Mus musculus: one gene and its partner. The protein of the gene in region 1 purifies or fractionates together with the protein of each later gene. This does not show direct contact. Links are inferred from orthologs where the notes say so. Each region holds a gene or a part of one and is shown on either strand. Other genes may lie near its edges. The genes, in order: Ofd1 and Cep20.

What was found.
Region 2: the proteins of Ofd1 (region 1) and Cep20 purify together in Homo sapiens (co-immunoprecipitation; 3 studies listed by BioGRID and IntAct, with this or other methods). This does not show direct contact. The link is inferred for Mus musculus from reciprocal best matches to the Homo sapiens genes OFD1 and CEP20.

The regions. Positions count from the first base shown.
Region 1 is NC_000086.7:166,389,065-166,400,432, reverse strand, and holds the end of Ofd1 (oral-facial-digital syndrome 1 protein homolog), read left to right. Parts: intron 1-7,101; coding exon 7,102-7,256; intron 7,257-7,862; coding exon 7,863-8,015; intron 8,016-8,474; coding exon 8,475-8,542; coding exon of another isoform or gene 8,543-8,648; exon of another isoform or gene 8,649-9,374; coding exon 9,375-9,417; 3' UTR 9,418-10,400; downstream 10,401-11,368. UniProt on the Homo sapiens protein: Component of the centrioles controlling mother and daughter centrioles length. Recruits to the centriole IFT88 and centriole distal appendage-specific proteins including CEP164. Involved in the biogenesis of the cilium, a centriole-associated function.
Region 2 is NC_000082.6:14,300,942-14,312,723, forward strand, and holds part of Cep20 (lisH domain-containing protein FOPNL), read right to left. Parts: intron 10,191-11,782; coding exon 10,106-10,190; coding exon of another isoform or gene 10,102-10,105; intron 3,647-10,101; coding exon 3,513-3,646; intron 1-3,512. UniProt on the Homo sapiens protein: Involved in the biogenesis of cilia. Required for the recruitment of PLK1 to centrosomes and S phase progression.

The DNA of each region.
Region 1 (11,368 bases):
GCTAGTGGCATTATCATTCTTAAGGGACTTTCCCTGTGTGAACATGTACAAACTGCTAAGGAAAACCTCCAAGAGAAGACTTCTCATTTAGTCTTGATTGGAGTTGGACAGAGCACTTATACTTTTTGCTCCTCTTCTGCAAAATCTGTCCCATAAGGAACCTTATCATCTTTAGAAATTGTGTTAAAAACGTGAAGTAGGGGGACACAGCTACCCAGGAACTCTGCCCCACCAGTGGCACAGGTTTCTTCTGGTCTGGGCCGGTCCCCTGAGCAGACCTTGGGCTCGAACTCCAGCCAGTCCCACAACATCCAGAGGAAGATCTGTTCCCAGGTGCTCCAATACTCCCAGAATCATAGGATCAGAGCCAGTCCCACAACAGCCAGAGGAAGCTCCAATTCCAAATGTGCTACCACACCCAGGATCATAGGATCAGAGGTGAGGAAGATACAACATCTAACCTAACACCAGGAGTGACAGAAACCAGCAGGACCCAGGCACTCAGGTTCCTTCCAGTCTGAGCCAGTGCCCTGAGCAGACGTTGGGTATGAACTCTGCAGCCAGTCCCACAACACCCAGAGGAAGCTCCACTCCCAGGCGCTCCAACACTTCTAGGATCATAACACCCAGAGGAATATCCACTCTCAGATGCTCCAACACTCCCAGGATCATAGGATCAGAGGTGTTCTGAGCAGACCTTGGGCGCTAACTCCACAGCCAGTCCCACAACACCCAGAAGAAGCTGCACTCCCAGGGCCCTAACATGCCCAGGACCACGGGATCCCAGGAGTTTGACCAAACACCAGGATCTCAGGGTCCCAGAGGGATTCCTAGGAGCTCTGACACATCCAGGATCTCAGGATCACAGGATCACAGAGACAGCTGAACTCTGAGAAGTTCTGACACAACCAGGATCACAGGAAGGACAGTCCCCAGTCAGATGTAGCAAGGGCAGGCAGAACTAGGGATAATCAGATTGCAGGAGGCAAGCATAAGAACAGAAGCAACAGAAAACAAGGTTACTTGGCATCACCAGAACCCAATTCTCCCACCATAACAAGTCCTGGATACACCATCACATTAGAAAAGCAAGATTTGGATCTAAAAATCACTTCTCATGATGGTGATAGAGGACTTTAAGAAGGTCATAAATAACTCCCTTAAAGAAATACAAGAGAACCTAGGTAGACAGCTAGAAGACCTTAAAGAGGAAGCACAAAAATCACTTAAAGAACTACAGGAAAACACAATCAGAGAGGTGAAGGAAATGAACTAAACCATCCAAGATCTAAAAATGGAAATAGAAACAATAAAGAAATCACAAAGGGAGACAACCTTGGAGATAGAAATCCTAGGAAAGAGATCAGGAGTCATAGGTGCAAGCATCACTAACAGACTACAAGAGATAGAAGAGAGAATCGCAGGTGCAGAAGATACCATAGAAAACATTGACACAACAGTGAAAGAAAATGCAAAATGCAAAAAATCTAACCCAAAAACATCCAGGAAATCCAGGACACAATGAGAAGACCAAACCTAAGGATAATAGGTATAGAAGAGAGTGAAGATTCCCAAATTAAAGGGCCAGTAAATCCCTTCAACAAAAGTATAGAAGAAAACTTCCGTAACCTAAAGAAAGAGATATCCATGAACACACAAGAAGCCTACAGAACTCCAAATAGATTGGACCAGAAAAGAAATTCCTCCTGTCACATAATAATCAAAATACCAAATGCACTAGACAAAGAATATTAAAAGCAATAAGGGAAAATGGTCAAGTAACGTATAAAGGCAGACCTATCAGAATTACAACACACTTCTCACCAGAGACTATAAAATCCTGGGCAGATGTCATACAGACCCTAAGAGAACACAAATGCCAGCCCAGACGACTATATTCAGCAAAACTCTCAATTACCATAGATGGAGAAACCAAGATATTCCATGACAGAAACACACTTATACAATATCTTTACATAAATCCAACCCTACAAAGGATAATAGATAGAAAACACCAACACAAGGAGGGAAAGAACAAGAAAGTAATCTTTCAACAAACCTAAAAGAAGCCACATAAACATAATTCCACCTCTAACAACAAAAATAACAGGAAGTAACAATCACTTTTCCTTAATGTCTCTTAACATTAATGGACTCAATTCCCCAATAAAAACACATAGACTAACAAACAGACTGGATATGTAAACAGGACCCAGCATTTTGCTGCATACAGGAAATGCACCTCAGTGTCAAAGACAAACACTACCTCAGAGTAAAGGTCTGGAAATCAATTTTCCAAGCAAATGATTCCAAGAAACAAGCTGGAGTAGCCATTCTAATAATGGATAAAATCGACTTTCAACCAAAAGTCATCCAAAAAGATAAGGAAGAACACTTCATACTCATCAAAGGAAAAAAAAATGTACCAAGAATTCTCAATTCTTAACATCTATGCTTCAGATGCAAGGGCAGCCACATTCATAAAAGAAACTTTACTGAAGCTCAAAGCACACATCGCACCCCACACAATAATAGTGGGAGACTTCAACACGCAACTCTCAGCATTGGACAGATCATGGAAACAGAAACTAAACAGGGACACAGTGAAACTAACAGAAGTTATGAACCAAATGGATCTAGCAGGTATTTATAGAACATTTCATCCTAAAGCAAAATAATATACCTTCTTCTCAGCACCTCACGGGACCTTCTCCAAAATTGACCATATAATTGGTCACAAAACAGCCCTCAACAGATACAAGAAGATTGAAATAATCCCATGCATCCCATCAGATCACGACAGACTAAGGCTGCTCTTAAATACCAACAAAAACAATGGAAAGCACACATATACATAGAAGCTGAATAACGCTCTACTCAATGATAACTTGGTCAAGGAAGAAATATAGAAATTAAAAGCTTTTTAGAATTTAATGAAAATGAGGACAGTTCATACCCAAACTTATGGGACACAATGAAAGCAATGCTAAGAGGAAAACTCACAGCTCTAAGTGCCTCCAAAAAGAAACTGGAGAGAGCTTACACTAACAGCTTGACAGCACACCTGAAAGCTCTAGAACAAAAAGAAGCAAATTCACCCAAGAGGAGTAGACAGCAGGAAATAATCAAACTCAGGGCTGAAATCAACCAAGTGGAAACAAAAAGAACTATTCAAAGAATCAAGAAAACCAGGAGCTGATTCTTTGAGAAAATCAACAAGATAGATAAACCTTTTGCTAGACTAACCAGAGGGCACAGAGACAGTATCCAAATTAGTAAAATCAGAAATGAAAAGGGAGATATAACAACAGAAACCAGGAAATCCAAAAATCATATATATCTTAAAACAGTTATTCCTCTTGTTGAATATTAACAGTTGAAAATAATAAAATTATGTTCTACAAACATCATGGAAATATTATTGATAATTTGTCTCACTGCTTGAAATTAGCATTTTCTTAATGTTTAACTTCAAGGAGCTTTTGCTATTTTGAAAAATTTAAAATATACTTTCTGATAAAATAATTTCTCTCCTATAAACACTGATAATCTTTTTTAAATAAACTGATTGTTAGACAATGTACACAGATATATAATGTATTTTAAATACTCTCACTATGTCAGGTGGTATCATATAAGGGCTTTTGAATATATTTCTTAATGATTCATTTTTAATATTTTATGCTCTTTTACTGTGCTTAACTCCCAATGAATATTTTGTATGTTTTGAAACAATTTAGTATTCAACATTAGATATAGGATCCTCAGTTATGGGTAGTATTACATATTCATTAATGATATTTTTAGGATAAGGATATGAATATAAAAGCTGAACAATTTTTTACCTATTATTTGATTCTCAAAATACTCAATATTATTATGTTTGATGTATAAAATGCATTTAAATAAGAAAAAATAAGAAAAAAAACCCTGAAGTAATGGTCAAGCCCACTGTATAGCTTTACTGTTGCAACATTTTAGTATTTATTGTCTTACTGGCTTCATTTATTTCATAAATTAGGATAGAAAAACATATTTCAATCTTCAGAAAAGTCATATGTTATATTGTCACCGAAAGAAAGTGGTCATCAGACTTCTGCCTGGCTATGCTTTTTTCTCTTCTTCAGTTTATCTACTTCTCCCTCAGGTGGTAGAGGGAGCAGAGAGCAGAATTGAGAGGAAGTTTGTCCTTTCTTCCAGCCCAGTCAACAGCCAGGTCCCTTTCTTCTCAGCCACAAACTTGAGAGGAAATGTCTTACTTTAGGTTGCCTATCTGCCCAAATAGGAACACCATTAACATTCCTGTACTGACTGTTGTTGTGTGTCAACTTGACACAGCTGGAGTTACCACAGAGAAAGGAGCTTCAGTTGAGGAAATGCCTCCATGAGATCCAACTGTAAGGCATTTTCTCAATTAGTGATCAAGTGGGGAGGGCCCCTTGTGGGTGGTGCCATCTCTGGACTGGTAGTCTTGGTTCTATAAGAGAGCAGGCTGAGCAAGCCAGGGGAAGCAAGCCAGTAAAGAACATCCCTCCATGGCCTCTGCATCAGCTCCTGTTTCCTGACCTGCTTAGGTCCTAGTCCTGACTTCTTTTGTTGATGAACAGCAGTACGGAAGTGTAAGCTGAATAAACCCTTTCCTCTCCAACTTGCTTCTTAGTCATGATGTTTTGTGCAGGAATAGAAACTCTGACTAAGACAACCCCACACACAACATAACTCAAAGCCACTCCATAGTAGTTTCATGGTCTCTGGAAGTACTCTAGAAGTCACAGTACTCAGGAAGGAGAGGAGCTACTGAAAAGGAGCAAGAGATTTTGATTATACTTATTCCTGAGTAAGTAAGTGTGCTTTGGGAGACAATTCATTTAACTAGACCCAAGCAAGCACCTTCTCTCTGTTGGGCATTGCCTAAGGGCTAGGTATATTCATTGAGCCAAATCAAGCTCCTGCCTTCATGGAGAGTGTGGGTTAAGAAGGTGGGGCAATGAAGGAGTCTAAAGGCTATCACTGAGCAGACGGTGCACCTGGCCATGTTCAAAGCCGAAGGAAGTAGCCAAAATACTAGCTAAGGGAAATCAGTGAGTAGCTAGATGTTCTGCCTTGAGATGTATAAGCAATCATGGCTCTTGAAATAGTTGATAAGTAGCATTGGTTATGTTTTGGTCATTTGAGAAATGCTTATATATTCATTTCTGCCTCTTCATCTAAGAACAACCCCCCCCCAAAAAAAAAAACAAAAATAAACAAACAAGAAACAGTAAAAATGTGATGTCCTTGAGGTTCCTAATGCTTCTGGTCTTGGCTTTTGTGTCCAACACGTTTCTATATAATTCTGCCACTTCCTCTCTCTTCCCTCTTCCCACTTTTTTCATCCTGCTCTGCATCTTGTTTTTCTTCCTTTCCCTGCCTTTTTTCCTTTCTTCTTTTTCCTTTATCTCAACAATAATCTTATTTTGTCATTGCTCTTCCCTGTGGGAAAGTAGAGCCATTTGAAGTAATCTCTCCTCTACTGGAAGGGAGGGACAGGGTAAGTGTGTCTCTGGAAAGAAGTGTGACTTTTGGGTATTTTAATTGTATGAAAAACATATATTGAATGGCTGGCTGGCTGGATAGATAGATAGAGAGATGTGTGGCCTTTTTTCAGTAAAGCTAGTTCTTATTCCTGCTAAGCATCTGGGACAAGGCACAACACCAGAGTCTGAAATCCTTTGGTGAACCTGTGGCATTGTTGCTGATTAGCATTTTTTGAGTGAAAAAAAATGTAGGTCATGGGCTGGAGCTGAAAGAATGGCCAGCATCATCATCTGTGAAACTGAGACTTATTTAAAAGGCAGGGACCTGTGCCAAGAATGAAAGGGAACAACAGACAAATAAAACATGAAGCTTGCTAAGAAGAAATAGAAGTGGGAAAAATACGCACACATGATTTTTTTCTTTCTTTTCTTTTTTTTTTTTAGAGAGGGGGTATAATGTATTGGCAAATGATGTGCTGGCATATTTATGTATCACTTGGAGGGTAAGGAGGACCTCACAGAGGAACTGTCTGTAGCAGCAAGATGAATTGGATAAGCACACAAGTACTGGTGGCTCAGTGGATCTGGGATAAACTCTGATGCCTGGGCTGCTCTTTAACTTGTGGGCTCAGCCTCTTGAGTTGCTAACATCATAGATGTGTATTTCCATGGCTTACCTAGACAGAGATGATGAAAGAACCAGTGTAACCTGGGGAGGAGGCTAGCATTTTGGGATTTCTCCATTTCTGTGACCAGAATCCCATTAAAAACATGATTGTTAGGCTGGGGAAAATGGTCAGAAATGAAGAAAGACATGGAAATGATTAGGGGTTAGAGATGGGTTAGTGGCTAAGAGCACTAAATGCTCTTCTAGAAGACCCAGCTTCAATTCCTATCATCCATATGGCAGCTCACCACTGTCGGTAACTCTAGTCCCAAGTGATCTGATGCTCTCTACTGGCCTTCTCAGGCATTGCATGCATGTGGTGCAGATACACATGTAAGCAAAGCACCTGTACACATTGAGTAACAATGGAGAGAAAAAAAAGGATGACCCCTAGCAAGGACCAGGATCAGTATAGCTTGAACTGAATAGTGGTGGTAGTGCCAGAGGATAAAGGGGAGGAGGGAGAGTTTTGTTCTGTTTGGGGATAGGAATGTCTCGAGCATCTTTTTTAGGCGTAGGGAGAAAGGGTTTTGAAATTACTGTGTTTATGAAACCCCTATTGATGCGCTAATAGTTCTAAAGATAGGGGATGGATTGTAATGAAACATGAAGGCAGAACTGTAGAATTTGCTATGGAGAGGCTGAAGCATGGAGAGAAGAGATGAATGAAGAGGATATGGTATGGAAGGACGACTGTTGGGGTCATTCATCGTGTGGTGGCTTATATCCATCTCAGGAAAGTAAAAGTCTAGGAGGGTTGCTAGGTGTCAGTCTGTGAGCTAGAAGATAATAAAAATAGACCAGCAGCTTAGAGCAGGTCATTAGAATCAGTAGAAAATCAAGCAGGCCTGCAGAAGACTAGATTTGAAAAATCTGATGCTGGTAGCTACTCACTCACTCTGTTTTCTGTCCTTTAAGGTGCTGTTCAGAGCCAAACTGGAGAACAAGACGAACAGGAGCTATGGGAGCTTCACATGAAAGAACGCAGGCAGAGAGAAGAACAAAGGCATAATGAACGGCAAGAAGCTTTAGAGAGGGAAAGAAGAGAGCTGGGAAAACTAGAGCAGGAGCGGGTACGGTGTCCCTTAAATCTCTGTATACATTTTTCCAGTGGGCACGGCACCTTCAGCAGGTACCTTGAGCTCAAGGCTGGGAGCCAGTAATGCTGTGAGATCAGAGAAGCAGCAGGTGACCTCAAAGGCATTCTCTTTCCCTTCCTGTTGTGCTCCTTCTGAGCAACTTGGTTTTGAAAAGACATCCACATGTATTCTCATCTGTTGTATACCTTCCCTCTGTATGTGCACTCCAGGAGAGCCAGCTTGCCAGTTGGAAGAACTAGGGCAAGAAGGTGCATCTAGTCAATCTACAGTGACGTCTAGGCACATACAGCTTTTCTACCTCTCTCCTTGCCGTTTTTGTTCTGATTTTAGTGCTAGGCAGATGGATTACTCTTGGCTAGTTAACATGCCTTAAAAATGTTCCTTGGCCTCCTGGTTAATCCCTTCCTTCCTTGAAATGACATGTTTGTCTGATGATAGCAATGACTTTAATTTTAAGCACTTTCTCTGGTATGCAAGTTATGCTACCAGAATAAGGATCTTATTAGTATGATTTTTAAGACTGAGAAGCTTATAAACTATGTTCATATATTTCTTCTTTTGCCGCTGGTCTGTTTCTAGAGGATGATTGAAGAGTCACTGAAGATGGAGATGGAAGAAGAATTAGAAAAGAGTGTTCAAGACCAGAAAGACAAATCAGCTCATTGTGAAAATACTTTAGAAAAATACATGAAAATTATCCAGCAGAGACAGGAAGAATCAAATGCAGATAAGGTGCCTATGCTGTGGCTAGCAGTCAGATGGCAGAGGAGAGGGGAGGCACTGGGAGCCTTATTCTGACACCTTGGGACATGTATTCTTTATTGAAGACACAAAGATTAAAGGCCATAAAGTGAATACTTGAAATAGAACCAGGATTCTGTAAAATATATACACTGTTGACAAAATTTCAGCCTTAGTTTAGGTAAAACATTGAAGAGATTCTAATTTTTAATTTTGTACCTAATAGGATATTTTATTGAGTTATAGATTGTGAAACATTTTTTCTGTCTGAATTATGAATACTGAAAATACATGCTATGTGTTATTTTGATGTACTTGCTAAGTTTCACTTTAAAGTGGCTCTTAAATATGTTTCCAAAATAATTATTAGAGAAATCAAAGTGTACTATTTCTTGGCCTTTTTCTGAAGTTAACTTGTTTCAAAATTTTTCTTTCTCCATTCTGTGTCAGAGCTCCAAAAAATCGGGCAAAGAATGCTCACTAGTGGACATGATGATGCCTAGTGACAAGGATGAAAGGTATGGCTTCCTTCAAACATGTCCCTCAGGCAAATCAGTATTGCTCATGTTACCAGATAAAAATGATCAGATACTTGAGCTTGCCTTAAAGAAACCATTGGATTAGTAAAAATTACTCCTTTTGAAAGTTAGTATATGATAGTATATTCTGGTAATTCCAGCACTCTGCTGCCTGAGACAGGAAGATCAAGAGTTTGAAGCTACCTTGGGCTACATAGTAAGACTCTCAAAAGTTATGAATTTAAAAGGGATGGAGGTTTACTTCAGTTAGCAGAGTGTTGAACTAAAAGGTAGAAGTCCCTGGGTTCAATCCCAGACACTCATAAACAGGGCATGGTGCCACATGCCTGTAATTCCATTACTCAGGTAGAAGCAGGAGGTATTTAAAAATTTAAGGTAAGTTTTGTTTACATAGGCCAGCCTGAGGCACAGGAGGCCTTTATTAAAAAATAAAACAGAACAAAATAAAAAGCCACTGGCCTCAAAAAGTCGATTGTGATTTGACTTGTGAAATTGACCCTAATACTAATTGTAAGTGAGAGCAAAAACACGACAAGAAAGGAGGAGGACCATTCTGAAGATGTAGAGCAGTGCTTCTTAGCCTTCCCAATGCCGTGACCCTTTAATACAGTGCCTCATGCTGTGGTCACCCCAACCAGGAAGTTATTTTCATTGCTACTTCTTAACTGTAATTTTGCTACTGTAGGAATTGTAAATATATGTTTTCCGATGGTCTTAGGTGACCCCTGTGAAGGGTTGTGACCTACAGATTAAGAACCTGATGATGTAGAAGTTGGCATGAATTTTTTAAACATCTAATTTTTCTCTTTAGTTCTCCAGGATTTTCTCATGAAGAACCAGATGACATGTGGTAATAACATTAGCTGTCTAGTTTCTCACAAGAAGTCACGTAATATGTGTTCTTGTTTTTCTGGAATTAAAGTTGTCAAAAAAACTTTGTGTATTTTTTTAACATTGTTTTAATTTTATACCATAATGTCTGAGACAACAGTAACAGAGTCAGCTGAACCCTTCCCCCCTCCCCTTTTATTTTTGGAGACAAGATCTCTGTGAAGCCCTGGCTGGCCTTGAAGTCACAGATTCGCCTGCCTCTGCCTCCCTTTGAAGGCATGCACCACCACACTTGGCCCATGTAGTCCTCTAGCCATGGCATGTATTCATTGTTTTAAAATGACATTCCTCTCTCTGGCTTTGTCTTAAGTTACATCTATTTGAAAACTTATCTTGTCACCTTCCAGGCTTGCATTTGCTAAGTTTAAGCTGTGTGCCTCCTGCTCCACACTTGGGCTATAATGTGTAAAACAGGAAGCCATCCTCCCAGCACAGTTTTGTCCCTGGACATGAACACAAATCTTTTCATTGTAATGTCTATAAATAATATTTTGCATCTGGTGTGGTTAAACTTGTAGGTTCTCCAGTATTCATATGTTTGAACCCTAGTGTGATGGTATTAGCTGGTGGGCCTCTGGGGCGTGATGCCATGAAAGCAGACCCTCCTACATAGAATGAATGAGAGCGCAGTCATCCCTTTCAGAAGTACCAAGAACTTGACACTGTACAAACCAAGGCCTGACCCTTACCAGGCACTGAACTTGCCAGCACTTTGTTACTGAGATTCTCAGTCTCCAGAACTGTAAAAATGAAACAAAAACTCCAAAGTTCTATTCTTTACTCCCTACCTTGTCTAAGATTATTTTTGTAGCAGGAGTAAGCCAGCATCTTTACTGTAGAATCCTTTAATCTTATTTATAATGGATAATGGGTGAACTTGTTGATTTTTAAATATTTAGGTTACTAAATATTTTAAATATTTTAAAATATAATAAAAAGGTAACTTATAACTCTGACTTCTTTTTTTTTTTTAACCCTCCAAGACAGGGTTTCTTGGTCTAGCAGTCATGGCTGTCCTGAAACTCACTTTGTAGGTCAGATTGGCTTCAAACTTATAGAGATCTGCCTGTCTCTGCTGCTCAAGTGGTGGGACTAAAGGTGTGTGCCACCACCTGGCTCATTTCATCCTTTAAAGTGTGTGTGTGTGTGTGTGTGTGTGTGTGTGTTTAAACCAGAGGTAATTGGAAAAACCTGTGTCCCCCAGAGGTTCCTATGTTTGATGGTAGAATTACTGTCAAGGTTACTTGTGGTTGTGTTAAAGCACTCTAGTATTTATTCAGGAGGCTTATCCAGTGACACAGTGCAGCCTGAGCAGACGGTGTTAAGTGAGACAAGCTTCATTACATTGGAGCTCCTGCTCATTTCCCTGCAGTGCGTGAGTGAAGGGGAATGATCCAGAGGCAAGTCCTCATTTAGAGGTGCTGTGCCCAGAATGCTAAAGGCACGGCCTCACATGGAGAGCAAATGCATAGGCACCCTGACAGGGTTCTTTCAAGTTAGACAAGGAAATCCCCACACAAATTTAGTGCTGCTGCTTAAAGAATCAACTTAGACTTAGCTTTCATTATATCCCCAAATATACCTTTCCCCCTAGACTTTGGCTTATAAGTCAACAGTTTATAGACCCTTATTCAAGTTCCCCATTTTTTCCTTTGCCCAAGATTAAACTATGTATGTGTCAATCCTGTAGGTAGATGGCTTTTTATTGGAGAAACTAGTTGGGAAAATTCTGTGCGTTTCACACTCAAGTGCTAGTAGCATTTTATACAAAGTACAGCTCAGTGGGCTACAGTATTTTCTCAATTTGCTCTTGCTAAAAACATTTTGCTTGTGTTTGTGTGCACGTGCAAAATGAAACCAGTAGCAGTCTTCCATGGACTATATGTCTCTACCTATGTAAAATCTTGATGATGT
Region 2 (11,782 bases), on another chromosome or scaffold:
CTTACATGGAAGGACAGAACTGACTCCTACACGTTGTCCCTTACCCCCACATATGCACTATGGTCCATGCATGCACAAATAGATATAAGTGTAATAAAAGTGATAACTAAATAAAATAAAATCCAAAGATAAGCTGGGCATGGGGAGATACACCTTTAAGACCATCCCTTGGGAGGCTGAGGTAGAATAATAAATGCCATCCTGATCCACACTGAGATCTGCCTGGCTCTGCTCCACCCATGCTGGGTTACAGGTACACATGCCACGCTGGAGGGATAGTCCAGTGGTTCACAGAACTTGCTGCTAGAGAACCCACGTTCAGTTCCCACTGGACACATGGCAGCTCATAATGGTCTATAAGTCTAGTTTCTGGAAATCTGATGCCATCTTCTGGCTTCCTAAGACACCAGGCATGCACGAGGTACACAGACATACATACAGGTAAATACCACCCACCACCACCACCACCACACAAACATAAAACTTTGTTTTAAAAAAAAAAAGTCCGAGACAGGCAGTGGTGGCACACGCCTTTGATCCCAGCACTTGGGAGGCAGAGGCAGGTGGATTTTTGAGTTTGAGGCCAGCTTGGTCTACAGAGTGAGTTCCAGTACAGCCAGGGCTACACAGAGAAATCCTGTCTCGAAAAACAAACAAACAAACAGTCCCGGTCATATGCCTATGATCCCAGCTAAAGAAATGGAGGCAGGAGGATTGCCACCAGTGAGAGCAACCTAGGATACATGATAAGACCCTGTATCTAAAAAAAGCTCAAGCATAAAATTTAAAATAAAGGGCTTTTAAAATTAAATTTATTTTTCTGTGTGTCTGTGTGTGTGTGTGTGTGTGTGCATACATACATGTGAGTGTGTATACATAGGCCACAGCAGGTGCACACAGAAATCAAAGGACAACTTTTAGAAGTTGGTTCCTCCCTTCTGTTGCATACCGATCATAAAAGCCTTAACTTTTACTTAGAACAAAATCTACCCTGCCTCAAAGATCACATCCACTCAGTGCAGGACTAAGTGGCAGGCTATCCTGCTAAAGGTGGGTGCCTATGGAATCTTTTCCAACATCTTCCACTAAAACCAGATGAGCTGTCAAGCAGGAGTCATGCGGCTGCTGTAGTAGGTGGACTCAAAGAACAACCGTGTTACAAATGATATCTTATAGCTGAGACTATTCTCAAGGCATTACGTAGAGGTCACTGTGTGTCAAGAAAAAAAAAATTGATGATCAAGAAAATAACTTAGTTATTTTCTAGTTTGCATAGTGATCCAAGCCTTTAATCCCAATACTCAGGAGGCAGAGCCAGGTAGATCTCTCAGTTCAAGGCTACCCTGGTCTACAGAGCTAGTTCCAGGTCAGCCAGGACTATAGAGAACCTCTGTCTCAAACAAACAAAACAAACAAAGAGAGAGAGAAAATAGCTGCAACATCACTGTCCCTGGAGCTCTGCGGCCACCCTCATTCATGAGCTGTCCCTGGAGCTTTCTGCAGAGGAAGTACCCAAACCCACGGCACTGACTGGCCTCTCACTGCTTGTAGCACTAAGCATCTTGGGGTGACTCTCTTCCCAGCTTACCTCCCTCCTCCTTCCCCCCTCTTCTTCCTCCCTCCCTGCAGTGGAAGGTTATGAGAGATAGTTTAAAACTTTCACCTTATAAGAACTGACCCTGGTTTATGACCAGTTTTCTCATTTTCAACATTCTATTGCCACTAACACTAATATTAAAGAGATTCTAACATTATTACAAAGGTTAGATCCCAAAACATTATTTTTCTTCATAATACTAAATTAGAGTCTTGTGGTTGCTGTGTTAACGAGTATTAATGGGTCATCACCATCCAGCAGGGACAGGAACTGAGGACTGTCACGCATTCCTCCTAAGTGTGCAAACTAGTAAAGCCTTTCCAGGGAACTAAATAATATGAACTACATACTTAAATACGCCATGCTGTCTGTGAACCAGCAATTCTGTTTTAGGTACCATCACAGGAGAGATATCATTCTATACAGACAAAGATACAACCTTACACAGTTGTAAAACTGAAACCTTAGCCTTAGCTCATCAGTAAAAAACAGCTGTAGCAATACCACACCATAGAGGCCCAGACCCACTGATCCATAAGCACACTGCCAGCTAAGATAGATTTGGATCCTTGAACACACAGAATTAGTCCCAAATGACCCGTAAAGGGCCAACATGAGTGTCTTCCATGGAAGAGAAGGGGTATGAGGAGTCAAGATGGGCAGGGCAGAGAAGGTCAAAGGCAACTGTACAGTCCTCGAGACTTTCAAGAGGCATTAGCAGGGTTAGTGGGCTAGTATTCTACACTAGTGTCAGAGCCTTAGTGATTCTGGCATGAACTTGGAAAGCCCCCACTCTCATGCTCTGGTGGGTCTGAACAGTGGCCTTGTGTTAAACTTTAGCCAGCACTGAGTCGCTATTCTCCCAGTCTTGGCTCTCTAGGAAGTTAGTAAAAGTTAGTAGAAAGTTAGTCTAACATAACACAGTCAGCCCAGCATCACAACAAACAGAGAATAAAACTAGTTAAGTCACAAATATCTTGAGGGCTTATCCTGACTCACAAGTATGTTGCTTTCAGAACTTAAGAAGCAGCAAGTCACTCAGAAGGGGCAGCAGCATTGGTTGTAGCAGAGCAATTTGCATCCTCGGCATTTCTTAAGAATTTACTTCAAATCCCGTATCAGCTGCCTGAACCCCACTTGTAAACACCCTTCTGAGAACGAGCACCAACTCTGCTCCATGGGAAACACCCAGCTCACACAAGCAAACTCAGGACCTGCTGCCTAATCACCATAAGCTCGTTTCACTCTATCATTTCTACCTTATTTACTTACTTACTCAGCTTTGTGTCACCTTGGCGACGACCTCACTATGTATGCACCCCAGGCTGGCCTCAGTCTTCACTGCCTGGATTACAAGTCTGAGTCACCATGCTTCGCTCTGAAAGCTCACCGTAAAGGGGAGCATTCTGAGCAGGGCATGGCTGTTCACACATCTAATCCTGGCACTCAAGCCGAGGAAAGAAGACTGACTGATGGCAAGCTCAAGGCCAAACTGAATGAGAGTCAGAGTCTAAATTCTGTTATCTGTAGTTAACTGTCATCTACCATAGCAAGTGTCCTGGAAATGTACCGGGAACACAGACATGGCTTCTCTGCACAGTAGTAATCTTGTATTTTTCAGTCTGGGAAAGATGGGGGAGAGGGTGTCGGGGAGGGGGGGGGGGGAGGCAACTTCTTGATTTCAAAGAAAACTATACAATGCGCTGAGCCAGGCTGTTTCAAAGACCCTGCTGATGTGAAAATCAGGTTTTCAAGACCTTGCTTTGAAATTGTATCTGAGCACTTTGCCCAGTCAAGATCTCTTCCCCCAAAGCGCTGGCTTTCTGGAGGTGCAGTAGTACAGGCTGATGATGACCAGACCAGCTCCAGAGAACAAACCCAATGAAGCTCAAGGATGAGTAGCGGAAGCGCCTACCGTCAGGTCTTCTGCTGGGCTTCCAGCTGAGATGCTTGGTTGCCGGGTGCAGGGTTGACTCTGTCAGAAGCACATTCTGGGCTCCATCTGGAGGACCACGCAAGAAATGGGCTAAAATTCCATACAATAGAGGACTATTTCCGGAAGAAGACAAAACCAAAATCAATTTACTTCCCAGAAGTAGGAAAAGCTTACGACAATCACTTTAAAGGTAAACTCTGACACAGAAACGGCCATCTAACTCAATAAATTAAAAAAAAAAAAAAAAAAAAAAAGATTACCTAAGTGGCAAATGTTCACTCAATTTAAAAGTACCAATTACCTTGAGTGAGATCTTTTTAAAACCCTCAGAAAACACACTGCCACAATTAAGATCTTCTAAACTAAAACAAAATCCCAATTAATCTACTGGAATTCAGCTTGTTAACTCCAAGACCAGCCTAAGACGTTCCTAGAACCTAGAACTGGTTACACATCCACTGTCCTGTCAAGGTTATGCTCAAAAACCATGTGCTCTGCCTTCATATCTTGTTGGCGGACAGCCAGCTGCAGACCTTGAAGATCTGTTTCCTAAAGTTCCACAGATGTTTCTCTTCCATAAAGGCTGTAAGCAATCCCTAGGTTACATGTTTGGTATCCTGTTGACAATGTCAAGTCTCTAGCTATGTACCTTGCACATAGAAAATGGCATATGGGGCTGGTGAGATGGCTCAGTGGGTAAGAGCACCCGACTGCTCTTCCAAAGGTCCAGAGTTCAAATCCCAGCAACCACATGGTGGCTCACAACCATCTGTAACAAGATCTGACGCCCTCTTCTGGAGTGTCTGAAGACAGCTACAGTGTACTTACATGTAATAAAATAAACAAATCTAAAAAATAAAAAAAAAAAAAAAAAAAATAAAGTTGATGTGAATGATGTTAAGTGTTCTCCAGGAAGTATTTATTTAAAAAAAAAAAAAAAAAAAAAGAAAATGGCATATGAATTAACAGGAGAGCCGGGTAGTAACTAATATCTACAAGGCTGCTTTGTAGTTTCCTCTTACCCATCACTATACTACCACCATTTATGACTGAGAAAACCAGAATTCAATAATGTGCCAGAGTTCCTCAGGAGTAAACAACATTTATACTCATAACCAACTCCTATATGCCATTTCTTAAAATATGTCACCAAAAGTCCTGTTGGTTGGTCCCCTGACACTGAAGGCTGCTCTACTGAAAGCACAGAAGTGTTCTCTCTTCGCTTCCAATCTCACCCCAGGAAATACAAGTAAATGCATTTCCTTTTGAGATATCCATCTCCTGCCCAGCTGATAAAATGGTTCAAAGTATGACCCTTCTATCAAGAACAGGGTCTACACATCTTATGCTTGACTGAGCCTCACTCACTTCTACCTATGGGACAAGGTGGCAAGGGGCAATTACTTGCTTTCTTGGATCACTCTCTGCGGGTGGGGAGGCACAGCCTGTGGACATTCAAGCAGTCCCACACACAGGCACATATATGAGGAACTTAGGAAGTCTGAAGAAGATCTCATGGCTTCAGTACAAGTTCCAGAAGCCTGAAACCTCAAAAGCTATCCGGAGCACATGGATGTGACAGCAGCTCCCCAGGACGAGGAAAGCACTACAGGCTCTCAGGGAGACAGACCCCACGCCTCTGCTCCTTCCAGCCAGCTTGCTTGAGATTGCTAAAAGCTTTACTTCTGACCTAGGATAGAATCTGCTTCAGATTTAGAAACATCTTCATCAGAGATCTTAAACTGCTTTACATGGTAATTAGCACATTTAACATACAATTCGACAGTAAAGTTTATTTCCAAAAATAAGTTTTAAAAGGCCATGTTTTTTTAAAAAAAATTTTAGGTGTTGCTCAGTGACAAGCACTCACCTCGCATGCGCAAAGCCCCAAGGTTGATCTCCAGCACACACTCCCCCAACACACACACTCCTGAAGAGGCTCCCTCACTCTCTGAAAATAAAGCTGGTCACCAGTTTCCCCTTTGAACTTGTTCATCTGCAGCAAAGGTTTCAGAGGCTATCAAAGAGCTAGGAAAAAAAAAATCTAACAGCTACTTGCTAGACACCCGTCAAATGCAAACTAACTTCTACTTGGATGGCCCTATACCTGCTACTGTGGTAGTCTGAATAAAAATGGCCATCTGAGGCTCATTTGAATCAGGGAGTGGTGCTACTTGAGAGGGATTTAAGAGGTGTGGTGTGGCCTTGTTGGAAGAGGTTGGGGGTGGGCCTTGGGGTTTCAGAAGCTAGTATCAGTGTCCTCTCTCTCCTGCCTAGAGTTCCAGGTGGAGATCTCTCAGCTACTTCTCCAATACTATGCTTGCCTGTGTGGTGCCATGCTTCCCACCAAGAAGAGAATGAACTAAACCTCTGAAACTGTAAGCAAGCCCCAATTACACGTTTTCCTTTATAAGAGCTGCTGTGGTCATGGTGTCTGTTCACACTGACTAAGATAGCTACTCTTAGAATCTCCACACATTTCAAAAACTGTCCAAATGTTTAAACCATTACCCACTGTTTTGCTTAACATTCAAATGTAGTGATTATTATACCCATGACCACTAGCTCTGTAAAATGGGGATAACAGCCCCCTTAAAGATTTTTTCACCAAACAAATATGGATAACCCAAGTTAGACGGCAAAGGCTCTTCGTGTGGCAGGATTTCTCCGTGTACATGCACCATTTAAGCAGATCATAAATGACCAGGAGGGAATGTAGTTCAATGGCAGTTTGTGAGCATCTCATAGACTACGCACTCCCCAGTCACTCTCTGGGGACACTGTAGAAAACTGTGCTGCCACATCTCCAGTGTCTACAGCAATGCCCCACATTGTAGCAAGTATCAGATAAGTTTTGGCAAAATAGTAAAATGCTGGAAATCCACAACACAAGAACGCCATTAAAGGGGAAGATGTGGTCTGCATGGGAAGGAAAGGAAGCAGAGACAGCCTTCAATAGACACTCTCTCATTTTGTGTAGATAAAAAAAAACCTCTGAGACAAAATACAGTGACCCTCAAATAAGAGGAACTAAAGTGTTTGAAAAAGAGATGTATATACACAATACGATTCCTTCATATGTGGAAGGAAAACCACACAGCTGTGCTTCATGTGCTGTGTCTGAATGATACAAGGGGAATTGCTCACTGAGTCACCTCTGGGCAGTGACAGCTATCAGTGGGCAGCAGCTGGGGGCAATAGCACACTTTTCTATATCTCCTACATGGTTTGCAGCAAAACACCAATACTTTCATTATGACCCCTCAAAAGTGATTTCTCCTCACTTAGGCCACTGTTCCCTATCTAAGGTTCATGCCATGTCACTACATAAGTCAAACACTGTGTTAATACATAGGCAAAATAAGTGTAGGCAAACAGTCAGCTCACTATACTCTCTCACACCTAGTGCTTCAAAGCTTTTCCTTCAGAAAGAGCTCCTCAGCTACCCAGCCCAGAGCTGGACAACATCTGGACACCCAATGCAAATCAATGACAAAGTGCAGTAAGCAGCAGAGAAATATACAGTGTTACAGTAACACTCAACTGGTACATGCAGCACTTATTCGAATAATTTTATTTATTTAAAATGCAGCATAATAGCTATTACGCTCCTTTGTAGTCTGTCTGCTTAGCTTGCTGTTAAAATCTGCTGTAGCCTTGTCATGTCAGCACAAAGACAAAGAGGAGAAAACATGAAACTATGGAACTAAGAAATGCTTTCTTTTCTTCTTCTCGAGGTCACCTGGATTTTATGCGGACAATCAGTTTTCCTGGAAGCTGAAATTCAATGCAGTGAGCACAAGAGCCTGTGGGTGGCTTTCTCCCTCCCAACTCCTGTGGGAACATCTAAACATGGCCAAGAAGATAAAAGGTGAACCCACAGAAGTTGGAGAGGAGAGGGAACATTTGGTGCAAAGGCCATGAACCATGAAGCTGCAATAACTGTGTGCCACTAAGAGGTGGGTCGAGCCACTGAAGCTGAAGCAATACTAAGGATCTGACTTGCTCACATACACCATGGAAATTCATTGCATGTTTTTAAGCAATACAGTAGCTGCCTTAGGAAGACAGAGGGCAGGGTAAAAAGAGTTTGGAAAGGGAGCGACTGGAGAACTAGCCAGGTGGCTCCTGATAGTGTCAACAGTGTGGCACAAGGCACTGAGACTGAGAGATAAGCAGAGGCAGAGGCAACAGTGCTGCTGAAGGAGAAAGAAAACCTGTCTTTAACCTGCCTGTGGCTCTGCCTTTAAAGCCTGAGCAGCCACAAGAAAAGCCTGTAAGGAGCGTTGTGAGTCGGCAAGAAGAGCACCCTGGTATTCTCAACACACTGCATTTAAGATGCCACAGACACATGGGCCCCAGCAGGAAAGTGATCCAAGCCCATCTGCCCCATGCAGACCTCCCTAGAGGCTCGGGTATAGGGGTGGTGTGTGAAAAGAAATGGAAACGGAAGACACTCTCTATGGAGTGCCCACTGAAACTTAAAGGAGTCAATGAAGAAAGAAAGACTAAGTAAGTCTGGGGAACTCTTATGACAGTGAAGAACCACAAGAAACATGGGATGGGAAGCTGTGTGGAGAAAAAAGAAGTCAGTATTGCAACGTGCTGCAAAAACTCAGGACCCATACTTGATGCTAGGGACAGGACAGCACTGAGGGAGACTTAGTTAAATGGCATATACAAAAACAGTTTGGGGGTCGGGGGGAGGGAGCTGGAGAGATGGCTCAAAGGTTAAGAGCACTGACTGCTCTTCCAAAGGTTCTGAGTTCAAATCCCAGCAACCACATGGTGGCTCACAATCATTCATAATGAGATCTGACACCCTCTTCTGGAGTGTCTGAAGACAGTTACAGTGTACTTACATATAATAAATAAATAAATCTTTTAAAAAACAAAAAACTAAAAAACTAAAAAACAATTCAGGGCTGGTGAGATGGTTCAGCAGGTAAGAACACTGACTGCTCTTCCGAAGGTCCTGAGTTCAAATCCCAGCTACCACATGGTGGCTCACAACCACCCGTGATGAGGTCTGACGCCCTCTTCTGGTGTGTCAGAAGACAGCTCTGTGTACTTATGTATAATAGTAAATAAATCTTTGGGCCTGAGCAAATCAGAGCGAGCAGGATTGGCCAGAGCGAACAGAGATCCTAGAAATTCAATTCCCAACAAACACATGAAGGTTCACAACCATCTGTACAGCTACAGTGTACTCATATACATAAAATAAATAAATTTTTAAAAATCTTAAAAAAAAAAACTTTATATTAAAATATAATTATACCACAAAAACAAATGAAAAAAATCCATGAACTTTTAGAAGGAAAACATAAATCTTCAAAGAAGTTTTCAGCAAGGAAAGGTTTCTCTGAGCTGTGCACTCTGGCACTAGGTACAAGCTAACCAATTAACCAGTTAGGGACTCTGGAAAAATATAAAAGGCATTAAACACAGGGAAGGAACTAAGAAATGACTCATGTAGAGGAGGAGAAGGAACAATTTCCGATGCAGGCAGCAGAAGAGAAGGGGATGGTAACGTGAAAGCAGAGGGCAGACACAACAGGTCTGGCAATGATAAGCTATAAAGCAGAGGTGGGATAAGAGGAAGCTGACTGGAAGGCCCCTTTCCTCTGTTTAGAGATGAGATCTGAGTTAGTTCCTACATTGAAGTGAAGGAAGGAAGGAAGGAGGAAGAGTTAAATATGAAGAAGAAACAACTCGAAGAACAAAGCTTTACAAAGAAGAAAAAAAAGATCAAGAGGCCAAGAAGAGTCATTCTTAGAAAGAAGGGGGAGGAGCTGGAGCAATGTCTCAGAGCGGTTCAGAGCACTCGCTGTTCTAGAGGTCCAGCTTCAATGCCCAGCACCCACATGGTGCCTTACAATCACCTGTAACTCCAGCTCCAAGGCCTCTGAGGGAATCAGGCACGTATGTGGTGTACAGACATGCATGCAGACAAAACACCTATATACATACATTTTTTTTAAGTTTAAAAAAGCCAGTTGTTGGTGGTGTATGCCTTTAGTCCCAGCACTCTGGAGGTAGAGTCAACTGGACATCTGTGATTTCAAGGCTGAGCTAGAACAGAGCTAGAGTTCCAAGACAGCTGGGACTATTAAAAAAAAGAAAGAAAGAAAAGAAAAGAAAAGAAAAGAAAAGAAAAGAAAAGAAAAGAAAAGCAGCTTAAAAAAGAAAGAAGTAGAGGGCTGGGCCAGGGTCACTGCTCAGGGTAAAGGGCTTGCTGCACATACAAGGCCCTGTGTCAATTACCACCACTGTGAGAAACTGATGGGGGGGAGGAAGCCCCCAAAGGAAGGAAGGGGTGGGGAGGGAGGGAAAGAAAGGGAGTGATGCAGGGAAGCAGGTTGGCTAAGTATTCAGTCCTCAGAGGCCACAGAGAGCTCAGCTGCAGCAGAGACCTCAGATGTTTGGTCTACACTTCTTAGATATTGTAAAATGTGTAACATACAATAAACCTAAATAAGTTCCTGTTGGATTAAAATAAATCATAGCCAGCACTATGCCATTAGGATCTGATGATAACATGTGCAAACCTCTTTTTAAAAACTTCTTACATTGAGTTATCCTTTGATTCTTCAAAGGCATTTAGTTCACGGATGAGAAACTGTCTGTCCAATGGAACTACAGGTTGACCAGATTCTGGAGGGAAAAATTCAGGAAAACACTGAGTCTATTAATCTAAAAGGCAAATTCAACTTTGATAATAACCATACCTCCCAGGTAGATACATTTCTCAGATTTTGGAAGAATGCTGACAGCACATTCAAGACAGAGCTAACATATACATGAGTTTATGATGTTAACATATACCCAAACAATTAAATGTGGAGCTTAATTACAGTTTAACACATACTTAGTTTTATCCTTAATTTGTGATTGGTAATATGGTTTCTGCATCTAAAACTACAATACTAGACTTTAGTGTGTTTTCTGAGATGTCCATAGTTTATAAACACATGGTAATACTAAATAACTCATTTTAAAAATATACATTTAGGGCTGGTGAGATGACTTAGAGGTTAAGAGGCTGTTCGTCCAGAGGTCCCAAGTTCAATTCCCAGCAACCACATGATGGCGCACGACCATCTACAGAGGAACCTGCTGCCCTCTTCTGGAACGCAAGTGTAAATGCAGATAGAACACTTATAATTAAAAAGAAATTCTTTTAGTTGTGCCATAGTGGCTCACGATTATGACTTTAAGCCCAGCACTTGGGAAGCAGAGGCATGTGGATCTCTTGAGTTCGAGGCTAGCCTGGTCTACATAGAAAGTTCCAGGACAGCCATGGGTACACAAAGAAGCCTTGTCTCAATCAATCAATCAATCAATATTCCATTCACGGAGAGTAATTCTAAGATTAAAATTAATTATTATATTTCTAGACTGACTCTCAGTCTAGCCCAGACTTGCTTCAAATTCAGCTATGTGTCCTAGTCAGGCCTTCAACTTGCAGGGAGTCTTCTGACCTTGTTTCCGGAGTGCTACGTGTATGAGCCACCATCTTCCTGGGGAGAAGATTAAATGCTAGAGCCAGGTGAAAGCAGTGGTAGGTTATTGCCTGAAAGGAAGCATTCACTTTCCAGACAATATGGCGAAATGAGATTTTAAAAACCTTTCCTGTAAATGTTTCTGCGGATCTGATTCATGGCAGTCACAAAGTATAGAGCAGCTAAAGCAGCCCAGCCGCAGCATCCCCTATCCACAGGTACAAAGTCAGCCCCAACTGCCAGTGCTTATTTTGCTTGGTTTTTTGAGACAGGGTTTCTCTGTGTAGTCCTGGCTGCCCTGCAACTCACTCTGTAGACCAGGCTGGCCTTGAACTCAAGAGATCCATCTGCCTCTGCCTCCCAAGTGCTGGGACTAAAGGTGTGTGCCACCACCACCTTTAATGCTTTGTAGTGCACTATATTAGGTGAAGTGAGGCAAGTATCAAACGCCTTTAGACTTCCATATATATGACATTTTGAAAAAAGCAAACCTGATGAACAGAAACTCAGCCATGTCCCATCATCAACCTCCCATTCGCCCCTCCCCGAGCCTCCTACCAGTGACGGGGAATTAAGCTCTGGCAAATAAATGTTCCACCACTGAGCTCCAGCTATTTTATATTTTGAAGCAGTGCCTTTCTGCTTTAGCCCCTTGAGTTTCTCAGACTATAGGCATGAGCAAGCATACCAATCTAAAACACTAAAACATTTCATATGAAACAGCACTGTCATGATTTCATCCTA